2 linked regions of the Neurospora crassa OR74A genome follow. The protein of the gene in region 1 interacts with the protein of each later gene in a pairwise test. Links are inferred from orthologs where the notes say so. Each region holds a gene or a part of one and is shown in the gene's direction. Other genes may lie near its edges. The genes, in order: NCU04319 and NCU05296.

Region 1 (6,777 bases):
AGTATTAGCCCACGGTAAGGCATGTATCCAAAACGCTGTTGAGAAAGTCCCCATCCTCCGAGCTTGCGCCTTCCCAAGGCATATCATCATCATCGTTGTCAACTTCCATAGCGTCCTCGTGATTGACGCCATTGGGTAATGGCCCATCTGCTTTGCCGTTGGCCGCCATTCCACCCATCTCCACATCTCCGTCGGTAGTCGGTCGTACTTCCCGCCCGTCAATGTACGTGTGATCGTCCCAGTTTTCAAGCTCCCCTTCCCGGTAGTCGTAGATGACCGACTTGGCGACAATGGGAAAGTTAGCTAGTCCGCAGTCACCCATCTCCAGCGCTATGCGGAAATCCGCCATGCCCAGAGGCCCACGCTCGCTGGCGGCTTTAGCTTCCACGGGCAATAGGCCGCTCTTATCGCGTGTTACCTCGCCCCTCTGAAAGGCCTCTTCTTCCTTCTGCAACTTGCGTCGGTACTTGTGTGTTTGAATCCAAGCGTTACCCGCTCCGAAACCGGCGTTACCAGAGTCTCCGGGGCCGTTACTCCTCGTTCGGCTGAATATGGAGGACATGACCTGCTTGATGAACGTTTCCGTGGCTATCGACATGAACTGGGCGGCTTCTGGCGCGTGTCCGCCCGAGAGGCCAGCCTCGTAGCATATGGGAAGCATTTTGGCCTCGATGTTGCTGACATCGGGGAACTCTCCGGACTCTACTGCGAGCGGCTGTGCATATCGTTTCCTGATTTCCAGATCATAGTCTGTGAAGAGAGAGGCAAGGTTAGTAACAGCTCATGCTGGTGGCTAGTCGAAAACTTACTCATCCGGCTGAGACCTCCTGCGGCACTTGCTGGTACCTCGGCAGTCTTGATGGACTTGTTTCTGGAGTGGTCAACGAACACGCTAGACAGGGACTCGTAGGGGTCGAACTGCATCGAAAGCTGTTAGTGGTCCGGTCGAAACAAGCTGACGTCGTGTTTCACATACGTCGTTGAGGGCGAGATCTTTGATACGTCTTCTGTCCCTGCTGGGAAGTTGCATGACCTCTCCCTTCAACCGTCTTTCGGCGGCATCACCCGACACGGGCTTGTTCGACGTGTTGGTTGAGGGTTTATCGTTTGCGCTGACCCAAGGCGCAAGGCCCTGGTCAGGCATTTCTCGAGTGACATTTCCGTATATAGCAGCGATGAGCTGGTTATGAAGGTGCTCTTTGGTACCATCGGGAGAGGCCAATATTGGGTCGATGCGCGCACTGAGCTCGGCTTGGTTGAGGCGACCTACAAAAGGATGTTTGTTAGTCCCTGGGCGTGTCGAGGGCAGTCGGCCTGAAGGGAGACCAACCAAGCAGAAAGTTGCCAACGGCTTCCTTGTAAACCGTCCATTGTTCTAGACCAATGTTTGCCCTGAGAGCAGTATATATAGGTTCGAGGTCGATGCGGGCCGGGATGAGTTGGCTGGTCTTTGGCTTTTGTAATGGAGGAACGGAAACATTGATGGATTTTGTAGCAAGAATAGGAGTCGAGATGTTGACGGATGGCCGACTGAGGGCCGCGGGATTTATGTCGACCATGTTGGTAGGTGTGGCTCTTCACAGAGCGGTTGTAGATGTGTCGGTCTGGAAATGCCGTCGAGGTCGAAATCCGGGCCGGGACCGGAACCGGAACCGGAAGAGGAGGGCGGACTGTGACCTCGGCGAAGAAGGAGAAGGATGGTGCCTGGCGTCCTCCAGAAAGAACCTCAGGAGGTCGGACCACTCCCCCAAACAGAAGAAAGTTGAAGTTGATAATGGTTTCCCTTCTTCCGAGCAAGAACTCTACTCGTTGGTAATGGGCGCTTCCCTTGGAATATGAAGCCCCTGCCTGCGAATGGCGTCAGTCCCGGACAGTCGCGTGCGAAGCAACAGCACAATTGCGACGCGGGAATATGATCATCTGGGCCTGAAACCGTCGGCCAACGCTATGCAATTGCGAATCTGGGCTCAGACTGATGAATTGAGCATCCTGTCGTCGACAAGTAGATTGGTGTATCAGATCGACAAAGGCTGGTTGTTGGACGGTTGGAAGTCTGAATCGAGACCCACGGGACCTGAGTTGTCGTTCTCCTCCTCCTTTGGTGGTCACTTCGGTTTCCGGGCGGTTGTTGGGTTGTTGGACTTTGCGAGAGAGTTCTGAAAAGAGCGCTGAAAGATGCACGCTAAATCACCTAAGGTACGGGCGCAACATGGAACTACCTCTACCTACCTACCTATTGAGCGCCCGGGTACCTCTACTGCCTGCCGCCTACAACCCGGGCAGTGTACTAGTCTATTTTCCCGTTCAGTGAACTGGGAGCGCTGGAAAGAGCCGCCATGATCACCAAGTGCAACTTAGGTAGGTTCAGTACCAAGCTTCCAGGAACAAACAACAAGATCAACACCATCACCGTCTGTCGCGTCTTGTGGCGCGTCCCGTCCCCTCTCCGGCCGGCAACACCCCCCAAACCAAACCAAACCAAACCAAACCAAACCCACCTGCGCTACCACTTGGCATCATTAGGTTTGAGAAATTCGAGCAAGCAAAGGAAAGCTGAAGAACCAAGGGACGGAGACAAGGAAGATGTGATGGGCATACAACTGGACGCCGCCAATTCCACCCACCCCCAGACAATGCAACAATGGCTAGCCGACAGCAGGAACACCGAGCCCAGAAGATCTCCAGCGCCATCGACAGCCTCATAGCCCACCTGATCCCCGAAAACCCCTACGAAGACGACCAGACCGCCGAGCTTCGACACGACGACTATGCCTCGGCCGTCAAGGCCCTTCTCGAACAGTAAGGAGGCTTGCTCCAGCAACGGCGCCGGCCTGAGATAACAAAACAAACATTGCTAACTCTCTCTGCCTTTCTCCCCAAACCAGACCCTCCTCGCCAAGCTATGATGCCGACGTCAACAATGCCTCCGACTTGATCAAGAGGAAGCTGATCCAGGGAAACCCAACCCAGGCACTGCGCTTTTCCCACCTCTACACCCGACTACTCTCCCTCCCGGTGCTCAACCAAAAGTGGGCCATCCTCTACTTTCTATACCAGCTCTCGGACTCGCCAGACCCCAATGAGCCCCTCCCTTTAAGCCCGCTTGCCCGACAGCAACCTCATTTCGACCCTCAGTTCCACCCCCAGATCCAGGCGCAAACACCTCCTCAACCGTCAGCATGGCCTGCCGAACCCAGGATCCCGGCATATGACGAGGTTCAGGATGAGGAGGTCATGGAGGATGCCCCTTCTCCCGAAGGCTCTCACAATCTCCCCCCAGAAAGGCCAAGACATGGTCGAGACCAAGGTCATACGCCTGTCCAGAGTCACCAGGCTGGCCCTGCTTCAAGAGACGAAAGGGATGTGGCGCATGACCCTTCGGAGCCGGCCTTGTTGAGGGACCTGCCCTTCACCCTGCAGGGCCTTTCATCGGCAACTCTCCCCTTTCTCAACGACACAACGTTGAAGCTACCACCAACGCTTCCTATCCCCATCATCTCTCTTCTCAACACGCTGGCCGAGCCTTCGCTTCTCTACAGAGGACTAAACGAGTTTACCAAAACGCCGGCAAACGGACTACTGGGCCAGAGTCTACGGGCTGCCATCAGCAAGGAGCTTCGGTCATATTTGACTCTGGTGGCTACCCTGGAGACTCAAATTCGCCGCGCTCTCTCTGAGCTTGACGAGTCTGCTCCCCGTGGTGGCATTGGAAAAACGGGCGTTACGCTCAAGCGATGCGTGGTATGGACCCGTGAGGCTACTATGGGCTTGCGCCTCATGTCTCTGATTGCCGAGGAGAGCAAGAATAAGCATGGTGGGCAGTTGGTCACCCTGATCCACAACTTTTCGTCTTCACACGGCGATCCTGTCGTAGCTGCATTCGCTGAGCGCTTGCTTGTTGACGTGACTCGGCCATTCTACGATATCCTACGCCGCTGGATCTATGACGGAGAGCTCCTCGATCCCCATATGGAGTTTTTTGTTCGGGAACAGAACCCCCTCGATGAGGAGAGGAAAGACGCCAAAGCTAAGGGCCAAATGAGTGTCTGGAACTCCAAGTATGAGCTTGTTGAGGACATGGTCCCGAGTATTATCACACGCAACTTTGCTGACAAGGTTTTCCTCATCGGAAAGTCCCTTAACTTCATCCGCCACAGCTGCGGTGATCACAAATGGGTCGAGGACTACAGTAAAAATGCGTCCAGGGAGCTCAAATATGGTGACACAGCTACCCTGGAAGCCTGGATTGACGAGGCACACAGGGAGACAATGAGCCATCTTATGCGCCTCCTAAATGACCAATTCCGTGTCTTTGATCATCTAGAGGCGCTGAAGCGGTACATTCTGCTGGGGCAGGGTGATTTCATTGCTCTGCTGATGGAGTCGCTGGCTCCTAACCTAGATCGGCCAGCGGGCGCCCAGTATCGACATACACTCACTGCGCAGCTTGAGCATGCCATCCGAGGCTCAAACGCTCAATATGATGATCCAGAAATCACCAATCGCTTGGATGCTCGCATGCTTCAGCTTAGCCATGGTGATATCGGCTGGGACTGCTTTACGCTCGAGTACAAGATTGACGCGCCCGTGGACGTCGTTGTCACCGAGTGGGGCAATCGACAGTACCTCAAAGTCTTCAACTTCCTTTGGCGTATCAAGCGTGTCGAGTTTGCCCTGGCCTCGACCTGGCGCAAGTGCATGACTGGCGCCCGCGGCGTTCTCCAGACGTCGGACGAGACGGTGCTTCAAACATGGAAGAGCACACGGGGTGTCCTCGCCGAGATGGTCCATTTTGTCGGCCAATTACAGTACTACATCCTCTTTGAGGTTATCGAAAGCAGTTGGACCGAACTGCAAAAGAACATTCACAAGGAGAACTGCACGCTCGACGACCTAATAACTGCCCATACCAAATACCTCACATCTATCACACACAAGGGTCTCCTCGGTGCCAAACGACGACCGTACCCGCAGACAGGCGACCCTGTCTCAGCATCTTCCACGACCGACGAAGATCGCAACTCCTACATGGTCCAGCTAAGCGAGCTGCTCCGGATAATGCTCGCCTACAGAGACAGCGTAGACGGTCTCTACAGCTGGTCCGTCTCCGACTTTACGAGACGTCAGGAGAAGGAGACAGCCGGGCTGATCTACTCACACCGCGGCGGGAGCACCCGAACCACGACGCGAGACCGAGCAGATTCCCAAGCTGCGTCGTCCATGGCTGACTCGATGGATCTCGATCCGCCATACGAGTACTTCGACGCCGCGGCCACCAGTGACGCGGGATCAGTTAAGAGCGAGTTCCCAGCGTTGCAGGACCGGTTGAAGCAATTGGGCGCCAATTTTAAGACCAGGTTGCAGATTCTCTTGGGAGATTTGGCGTACCAGCCGGATGTGGATATGCGGTTCTTGGGAGTGTCGATGAATTTCAATGATGTGTATCAACCTGTGAGGAGGAAGACGAAGACCTCGTCGAGTGCCGTCCCCACTGGTGGAGCTGCCTCTGTCGCTTCGGCGGCATCGTCGATAGCGGGCGCTCAGGGACAGTCTCAGGCTGGGGGGAGTGGTGGGCAAGGTGTTGCGGGAGGAGGGACGACTTTTCGTGGGACAGATACCTCGAAGGCCTAGGCAGCATGTGGGTCTGACACGAGCGAGTCGAGTAGTGGACCAAGGTATTTGTACCGGAGCCGGTGACGACAGATGATAGGTATACCACTAGATGTAGGATGGGAAGTAGCGGGGGGAATGAAACCGGACATAATAGCGAACATTGGCAGAATGGATGATTGGATCGGTCGTGACCGAGCATTGACCTACTGACATTAAATCATATCCAACCAAAACCTAAAGCGTATTTGACGGCAAAGACATCGGTAATGGCCTCGACATCGAGGAGACAGAAATCTGGATGCTGGGTGGCTACTTAAGTTGAACCAAAAGTATACTCATCCATCAAAGCGGGTTTAGCTCAGTTGGGAGAGCGTCAGACTGAAGTCCACTTCACTCATAAATCTGAAGGTCGTGTGTTCGATCCACACAAACCGCAACCCATTCTTTTTTTTGCATTTTGCCCATCCTATCTCTTTTTTTTTCGTTGGTTTAATATAGAAACGAAACGTCTGGTTTTCGGACTGCATTTCGTTCTTGCTATATGGCTGACTGGGGGAGATCTTGAAGGAATGCTTTCAACCACCGAAAAACTTGATTTGCAAACGAAAGTCAGAGAAAGACAAAGACGGAAACTTGTTGTATACCAACCAACCCAACCCTCTTATATCATCCCCCCTCTTGAGCCCTCTTCTCTAGATACGCTTGCTACTATCACACAAGAAATCATGCTTACCCTGACTCTGTCCCCTCAGCTCTCATCTTCAATTCCTCACTCCTTCCTTAGCTCTTATCTATCCCATTATCTCTCCCTCTCTCCCTCTCTTCTATACCGCACAAAGGACCTACCATACCACACTGTCACCAATCCCCTCCCACCCCCTTCTCAATCTCCTCAAAAACTTTTACCCCCCTCAATAACAACCCACTCGCCAACCCAACCACATCCGCGCCCGCCATCCTCATCCTCTTATACCCCTGTGCATCTAGCACCCCTCCCACTCCAATTATCTGTATCCGATGTCCCAGCGTTTTTTCTCTTTCATCCAACATTTTCCTAAGCGTTTTGACATTCCCCAGCGCTAATGGATGTAAGGGGGCACCAGCTAGTCCGCCTGTGCCTAAGTCGGTTGGTAACGCCGCTTGAGTAAAGTCGTCTGTGAAACC
Region 2 (6,590 bases), on another chromosome or scaffold:
AGTGGTTTTCTACCGATTTGGATGCGACCGCGAAGAATCGACAAGAAGATCCGGGAGGAGCAGGCGGGGGAGAACCGGTTGGTGCTGGCGAGGACGGAGCATGCGCATTTTGCGCTGGGGTTGTTGACGGTCGAACAGGATTTGGATCGGTTGGAGTTGAGTGAGGGGGAGTAGAGGTGATTGATTACATGTAGAGAATCTTGGGGTGTAATACCATATGGGACTATATATATATATGCATATATATAATTCGGGCGTTGAGGGTGGGTTGGGAAACATGAGATGAGCGGGCTTTAACGAGCGAGTGAGCTTATAGCGGACGACGACCTGGGCATTATGGAATACCTTGATGTACTGTTTAGAAGGCTGGAACGGAATCCAAGTCCGAGACGAGAGATGGTGTCAAGTAAACGGTGTGTTGCCTGCTGACCGGCTTTCAGGTCGGTTACTTTCATACGCCTTTATCTATTGCGAATCCGTTGCCACACGTGCTTGAAACGCTGGACATATGCCGTGGAATGGGGTGAGTAGAGGGCCACCAACCAACCAAGAGTGCTTGAGTTGGATTCGATTCATTAAACAGTTTCTCCCATCAAAAAACCGGGAGATGCCGCTTTCCATCCCGTTCGCCTGCTATCTCCAGCTATGCTTTAGTTTCCCATTCCCCTTCATCAACATTACATGACACATGCTTCTTTAGTTGGCGGGCAACCGCGCAACAACAGCGGCCATTTCCTCGTCTGTGTATATCCTGAAGCCCTTGTCCTTGGTGACGCTCGCCAGCTGCACGTTCTTGGCATCGAGCTTCTCCTCCATGACCTGCTTGAGCGTCTTGAGGACGAGCGTCTCGGCGTCTTCGAGGGTGAGGGACTATATAACAAGATGAAAATTAGCAATAAGGCCCTAATACAGTCCCGGGCACCCTAGATAACCCACCTTGTGGTACTCATTCTGCAACTCGGCCTGCGCGCCCTCGCTACCGCTTCCAATTGCCTTTGCATCATAGCGATAAAACGTTCCCGACGGCTCGGCATGGTACAGACTCGGGCCGTCCTCATCGTAGCCGGCAATCAGCAGCGCCACGCCAAAGGGGCGGGACATGATGCTCTCCTCGCCGTCGGCGCTCTCGCCGAAGCGCAGGGCCAGGTCGCAGATGGCCTGCGTGCAGCTCTCGACGCGCAGCTTCTCGTTGTAGTTGAAGGCGTGGCTCTGGCACTCGACGCGGGCGTGCTCGATCATGGAGCGCGCATCGGCCTGCAGCCCGGACATGGCGGTCCCGATGTGGCGGTCGATCTCGACAATCTTCTCGACCGACGAGGTCTCGAGCAGGGTCGAGGTCACGCGCTTCTCGACGCCGAGAATGACGCCCTCCGAGGTGGCGACGCCGATGGCGGTGGAGCCGAGCTTGATGGCCTCGAGGGAGTACTCGACTTGGAAGAGGCGGCCTTCGGGGGAGAAGGTGCTGTAGGCATGATTATTAGTCTTCCTTGTTGGACTGGGTAGATAGGTGGGTGACTTGGATGTAGGTATTGTGGCAGGTTGTGTGGTGTTTTATCGGTATTCGTTAGAGGGTGTTATCGAGGGATATGCGATCGAGTAGTGGCTGGAGGAGTATGGGAGAGAGAGAGAGAGAGGGTGGTGTGGCCAAGCGTAAAAGTCGTTCGTTCGTATGTTCACTTACTTGATGCCCCGATCTAGATGATGCGCCCAAGTATGTTAGCCGTCCGTCAGTCCATGATGTCTGGTGTAGCTGTCTGGTGTAGCTTGTCCCCTCCGGTGGCATCACTTGAAGCTTGACATGGGCAAAGCAAGTGAGGGGGGTGGTAGTGACATACCGTATTCAGATCTTGCCATAAACATTTTGACGGTGTTGAGGGGAGCTCGAGTGGGGAGAAGGGTCCGGGATGTAGTATTGCTGTCGGGAGGTAAGCCTGGCTTTGCTGGTTATATGCGCCGGGCGTTGGTTGGTGATAGCCGAAGAGATAGATGGTGTTAGCGTCGAGGGTCGGTGTCTCTTAGTCGAGGACTGGTGAGTGATGTTGTTTGTTTTGGGAGAGATTGGATGATGCTGTGCCGTGGTGGTTTGGATGGGAACAAGCTGCCGTAAGGCCTGAACTGAGGTGCCTGGGACCGACCGACGTCAAGCACCTCAGTGGAATGGAAGAGCTCCAGGCACGACAGGCCGACGAAGCTCCTCTGCCAGGCGGGCCGGCCAATCCCCTGTACCCTAGGTACCTAGGTAGGTGTCCCAAAAGGTACTTGCAGGTACGTACCTCCCGTCTACCTTCAGTTCCCACCTAGCAACCCGACTGTCAGCGCCTGGCCAGGGGAACCCCTCAGACCTAGCGGCCCGGGTGCCCCTCCCTGCCCGTAGAAGCCGCCCGCTGGGGCATCACCTATCCACTGAGACGGCTTGCTTGGCGGGTCCTCCTCCCTCTGATAACGCGTCCAATTAATTGTTGGTGGTCGCGTCACTTCCATCCAGCGGGCATCGGGTCTCCATTCCGCCGACACACTCCAACATCCAACGGGACGGCATCCTCTCACACTCACTCACTCACTCACTCACTCATCACTTTTGGACTGCGATTGCTACCTTCTTGGCTTCGCAATTCCTCCTCCATTTCCATATCCAACAACGTCTCCTCACAGGACAACCCTGTTGTTGTTACCCGGCAGATTTCCCGACCGCTGCTCGACCGTCACAATACATACGTTAGGCTGACAAGCTACAAGTCCAAAGATAATGTACCCTTAGAAGGGGGCAACATCACCGGGTCTCCGACCGTCAACCTTCACCAAACCCAGGCCCGACACGCCCGACCCCAGATCCAGTCCAGCGGCCCACGGCATTGTACATGGCCACGAGCCGCCAAACATATCCATAACCTTCTCCCACTTCCCCGACCGCCGCGCCGCCAGAGTCACCTCCGCAATGGGATCATCGGCCACCCTAGCCCCGACCCAATCCACCTCACAGACACGTCCCACCAGCAGAACCCTCGTCAATGACCGCCGCCCAGCCAAAGTCCAGGTGACCACACGCGATCCTGCCATGGCTCGATCCGGCCGGAACGCCGACCCCCTCAGCGCTGGTAGCGACACCCTCAAGTCCAGATCACGGAATGTCGAGTCAAGGCGGCCAAGAGGAGACAGCCGCGCTGCTGAACAACAACCACAACCACCACCGCCAGCCCCTTGGGAACCCGCCGCTACCCTACTCCCTCACACGTCAGCCCCTTTAGCTTCGCGAGTCTCGATACCGCCCGTTGCTTCGTCCGCGCCTCAGACACTACAGCCGCGACCGCTTGCCGAGCTGTCCCTCAATGCGCAAGAGGCTGCCATGATCGAGGACCTGCTCTTCGTGTTTATGGGCTTCGAGGGACAGTACATCCGATTCGCAAAAGGCTACAATCCCTACGAGGAACGAGACCGCTTGTCTGGGCCACAATGGCGCATCCTATCTGGGCTGGATCCCAGCTTGCTGGACCTTACACAATCCATGCTGCGCATGGCTTCTCACTACACGGCGCTGGAGACGTTTGTTGATGTTCAGAGTCGCGAAGAATTCGGTGCCGTCAACCACGCCTTGTGCGCCTCGATCCGGAGGTATTTGCACGAGTATCTGGTCATGGTTGTCCAGCTGGAGACACAGTTTCTCAACGACGAGAACTTTACATTACAGCAACTCAACGTGCATATCCTTCCCAGCAGCCATCTGATGGCTCACATGTATGGCTTGGCGCTGGAGCTGCTAAAGCGCAATGCGCTTCTGGATGACGACTCGGACGAATCGAGCGATAGTTCCGACGACGACTTCGATCACATCATCGAGCAGCTCAGAGACGGCGGTGATCTTGTGCCGGGGAATATGACGGGCAAAAAGATATGCAAGGGAGGCGTGGTATTGGGGCTGATCACCAAGAGACTGGAGTCGCTATCGGGAGACCCGTCCGCCAGAGTACTCCTCACAACTCTGCTACGGGACGCAAGCCGACCATACATGGCCATGTTGAACGAGTGGTTGCACCATGGAAGCATCAACGACCCACATTCCGAGTTTCTGATCAAAGAACAAAAGAGTATTCGCAGGGAACGATTAGAGCAGGATTATACCGACGAATACTGGGAGAGGCGATACACGATACGAGATCACGACGTGCCACCTCAACTGGAGGCCGTCAAAGACAAGGTCTTGCTGGCTGGCAAATACCTGAATGTTGTCCGAGAGTGCGGAGGCGTCGATGTTAGTCGCAAGATGCAGGACGTACCAAACTCGTTCGACGACAATAGGTTTCTGGAGAACATCAGCAGCGCCTACGCTCATGCCAACGGATCGCTAATGCAATTGCTTCTTACCACACACGAGTTGCCGGCGAGACTACGATCGTTAAAACACTACTTTTTCCTGGACCCTTCGGATTACTTCAACTACTTTTTGGAACTAGGAACGTCCGAATTACGAAAGCCCGTCAAGGTGGTGAACACTGGCAAGCTCCAGTCTTTGCTCGATTTAGTCCTACGACAACCGGGAAGCATAGTCTGTCTGGACAAGTTCAAGGAGGATGTCAAGGTGGAGATGAACGAGGTTACGCTACTCAAATCGCTTCAGCGGGTCGTTAACATTACCGGTATTGAGCAAGGCGAGGCGCTTCAGCTTACATCAAACCAACCGTTGGAAGGCGACAAAAACGCCACTGGATTTACCTCGCTCCAGCTCGACTATACTGTTCCCTTCCCGGTGTCTCTTGTTATTAGCAGGAAGACCATTTGGCGTTATCAGGCCTTGTTCCGCTACCTTTTGTCACTGCGTTACCTCGAGACCCAACTATCGGTCACATGGTATACTCACGCAAGCGGCACGGCCTGGACACACCGTTCATCCAACCGCATGCTGGAGATCTGGAAGCGAAGGGTATGGACACTCCGAGCTCGTATGCTTGTATTCGTTCAGCAGCTGCTTTATTTTTGCACTGCCGAGGTAATCGAGCCGAACTGGCAGAAGCTCATGAACACGCTCCGGGAGATTGAGAACAACTGCGCGGGTGTGACTACACAAGACGGTACCTCTACGCCAAGGGCATCATCTGCCAAGAAGCCTCATACCGTCGATGGGCTTATGCAGGAACACGTGGATTTCCTCGACACTTGCTTGAAGGAATGCATGTTGACCAACAGCAAGTTGTTACGAGTATGTCTTGTCCCCCCCCCTTACCTCCTACCCTAGGTATTCCGAATAATACAAACTAACTAACAAACCCCCCCAGATCCACTCCAAACTAATGCAAACCTGCTCCGTCTTCGCCACCTACACCAACTGGCTCTCCCGGGAGCTCGAAAAGTCAGATCCAGACCTGACAGGCAACACCAAGCCGCCCAACATGACGGACGATCAATGGCGACAGTTTCTGGTTATTCGGGGCCAACGACAGCAACAGCAGTCAAAAGACGGAGACACGAACATGGAAAACGACAAGAACCCCGAGACGAGAATGAACGAGCTCTTTGACGTGATACGCAAGTGGGAAAGCAACTTTAGTCGACACCTGCAGATCCTGCTGGACGCACTGAATCACTATGCGGCAACGGAGACGGTGGTGCTGTTGAGTCTGTGTGCGCGCTTGAGTACGGCTAATCAGGGGACCGAGTATGCTGGGTTGAGGAGTGAGGAGGACGGGGGGCATGGTGGGGGGTCATGATGATGCTTCACTGGGGGTGTAGTGTAGGGGTGTGGAGTGTGGATATGTGATGAGAGAGGGCAGAGTAAAGCAGAAAGGGCATTATTATTACCATGATACCACCCATAACTGAATCAAGAAAGATGAATAATTCAGAAGAAGAACGAAGAATAAGAATAAGAAGAAGCATTATATGAAACGTTCGGTAACTCGAGTCGTGATTACGTTCAAGCTCATGTTTGGTTTCGTCCCAACTGAGCCTTGGTGTATCTCATCCGGAGATGCTTTCTTCGCCACCGCCGCCTCCTCCTCCTCCTCCAGATACCGAACTGCAGACGTCTAGACGGGCTTGGGCATGTTATCCGGATATCGGAATGGGTGCCATCTCTTTGGCACCTGCGCGGTTTCCGTTACCGACGCGGGGGTTCAGGGGACCCAAAAGGGGCGGTTTTGGTCTCTACTTTTTTTTCTTTCTTTCTAGGTAGTTACCGTGTCGTTGGCTTGTGAGCTGTTGTTGTTGAATGGCTTGATTCATGGATCTCCGGGCGCCGGCCTATCTACACTACACTACAATACATATGTACAATGCACTATCAAACCTTATCAATCATGCCCCATCCCATCATCTGATTCGTCAAAGACACCCCATGACATTTTAATGCAGTAACCCCGAAAGCCGGGAGCCGGGACTACACTACACTACTCTACACTACTATGGTACGTAGATAAGTACCACCCGTTCTTCGGTGGAAGAGGTAAATCCGCGGAGCGACTGACCGACTGCCCCAAAAACCGTGGATAAGAATTTGGTTTCTCCGTGGCAACCGGTGATGTTCGATTCTTCATTTTCCCCGTCTTTTTTTTTTTTTTTTTTGTTCCATTTTGGTTCTAGAAAAAAAAAAAAAAGACAAG

What was found.
Region 2: the proteins of NCU04319 (region 1) and NCU05296 interact in a two-hybrid assay, tested with the Schizosaccharomyces pombe proteins (3 studies listed by BioGRID). The link is inferred for Neurospora crassa OR74A from reciprocal best matches to the Schizosaccharomyces pombe genes alp6 and alp4.

The regions. Positions count from the first base shown.
Region 1 is NC_026505.1:5,598,556-5,605,332, reverse strand, and holds NCU04319 (spindle pole body component), read left to right. Parts: upstream 1-2,363; 5' UTR 2,364-2,641; coding exon 2,642-2,799; intron 2,800-2,885; coding exon 2,886-5,631; 3' UTR 5,632-5,866; downstream 5,867-6,777. Other genes in the region: NCU04320 (transcriptional co-activator), read right to left, coding at 5-750, 810-918, 977-1,266, 1,331-1,559; NCU04318 (dihydroorotate dehydrogenase), read right to left, coding at 6,472-6,777.
Region 2 is NC_026504.1:5,424,232-5,430,821, reverse strand, and holds NCU05296 (spindle pole body component 97), read left to right. Parts: upstream 1-2,492; 5' UTR 2,493-2,935; coding exon 2,936-5,191; intron 5,192-5,267; coding exon 5,268-5,699; 3' UTR 5,700-5,871; downstream 5,872-6,590. Other genes in the region: NCU05294 (C6 finger domain-containing protein), read left to right, coding at 1-174; pca-5 (proteasome component PUP2), read right to left, coding at 697-870, 937-1,462, 1,682-1,694, 1,836-1,860. UniProt on the Schizosaccharomyces pombe protein: Component of the gamma tubule complex that is required for the regulation of both interphase microtubules and mitotic bipolar spindles.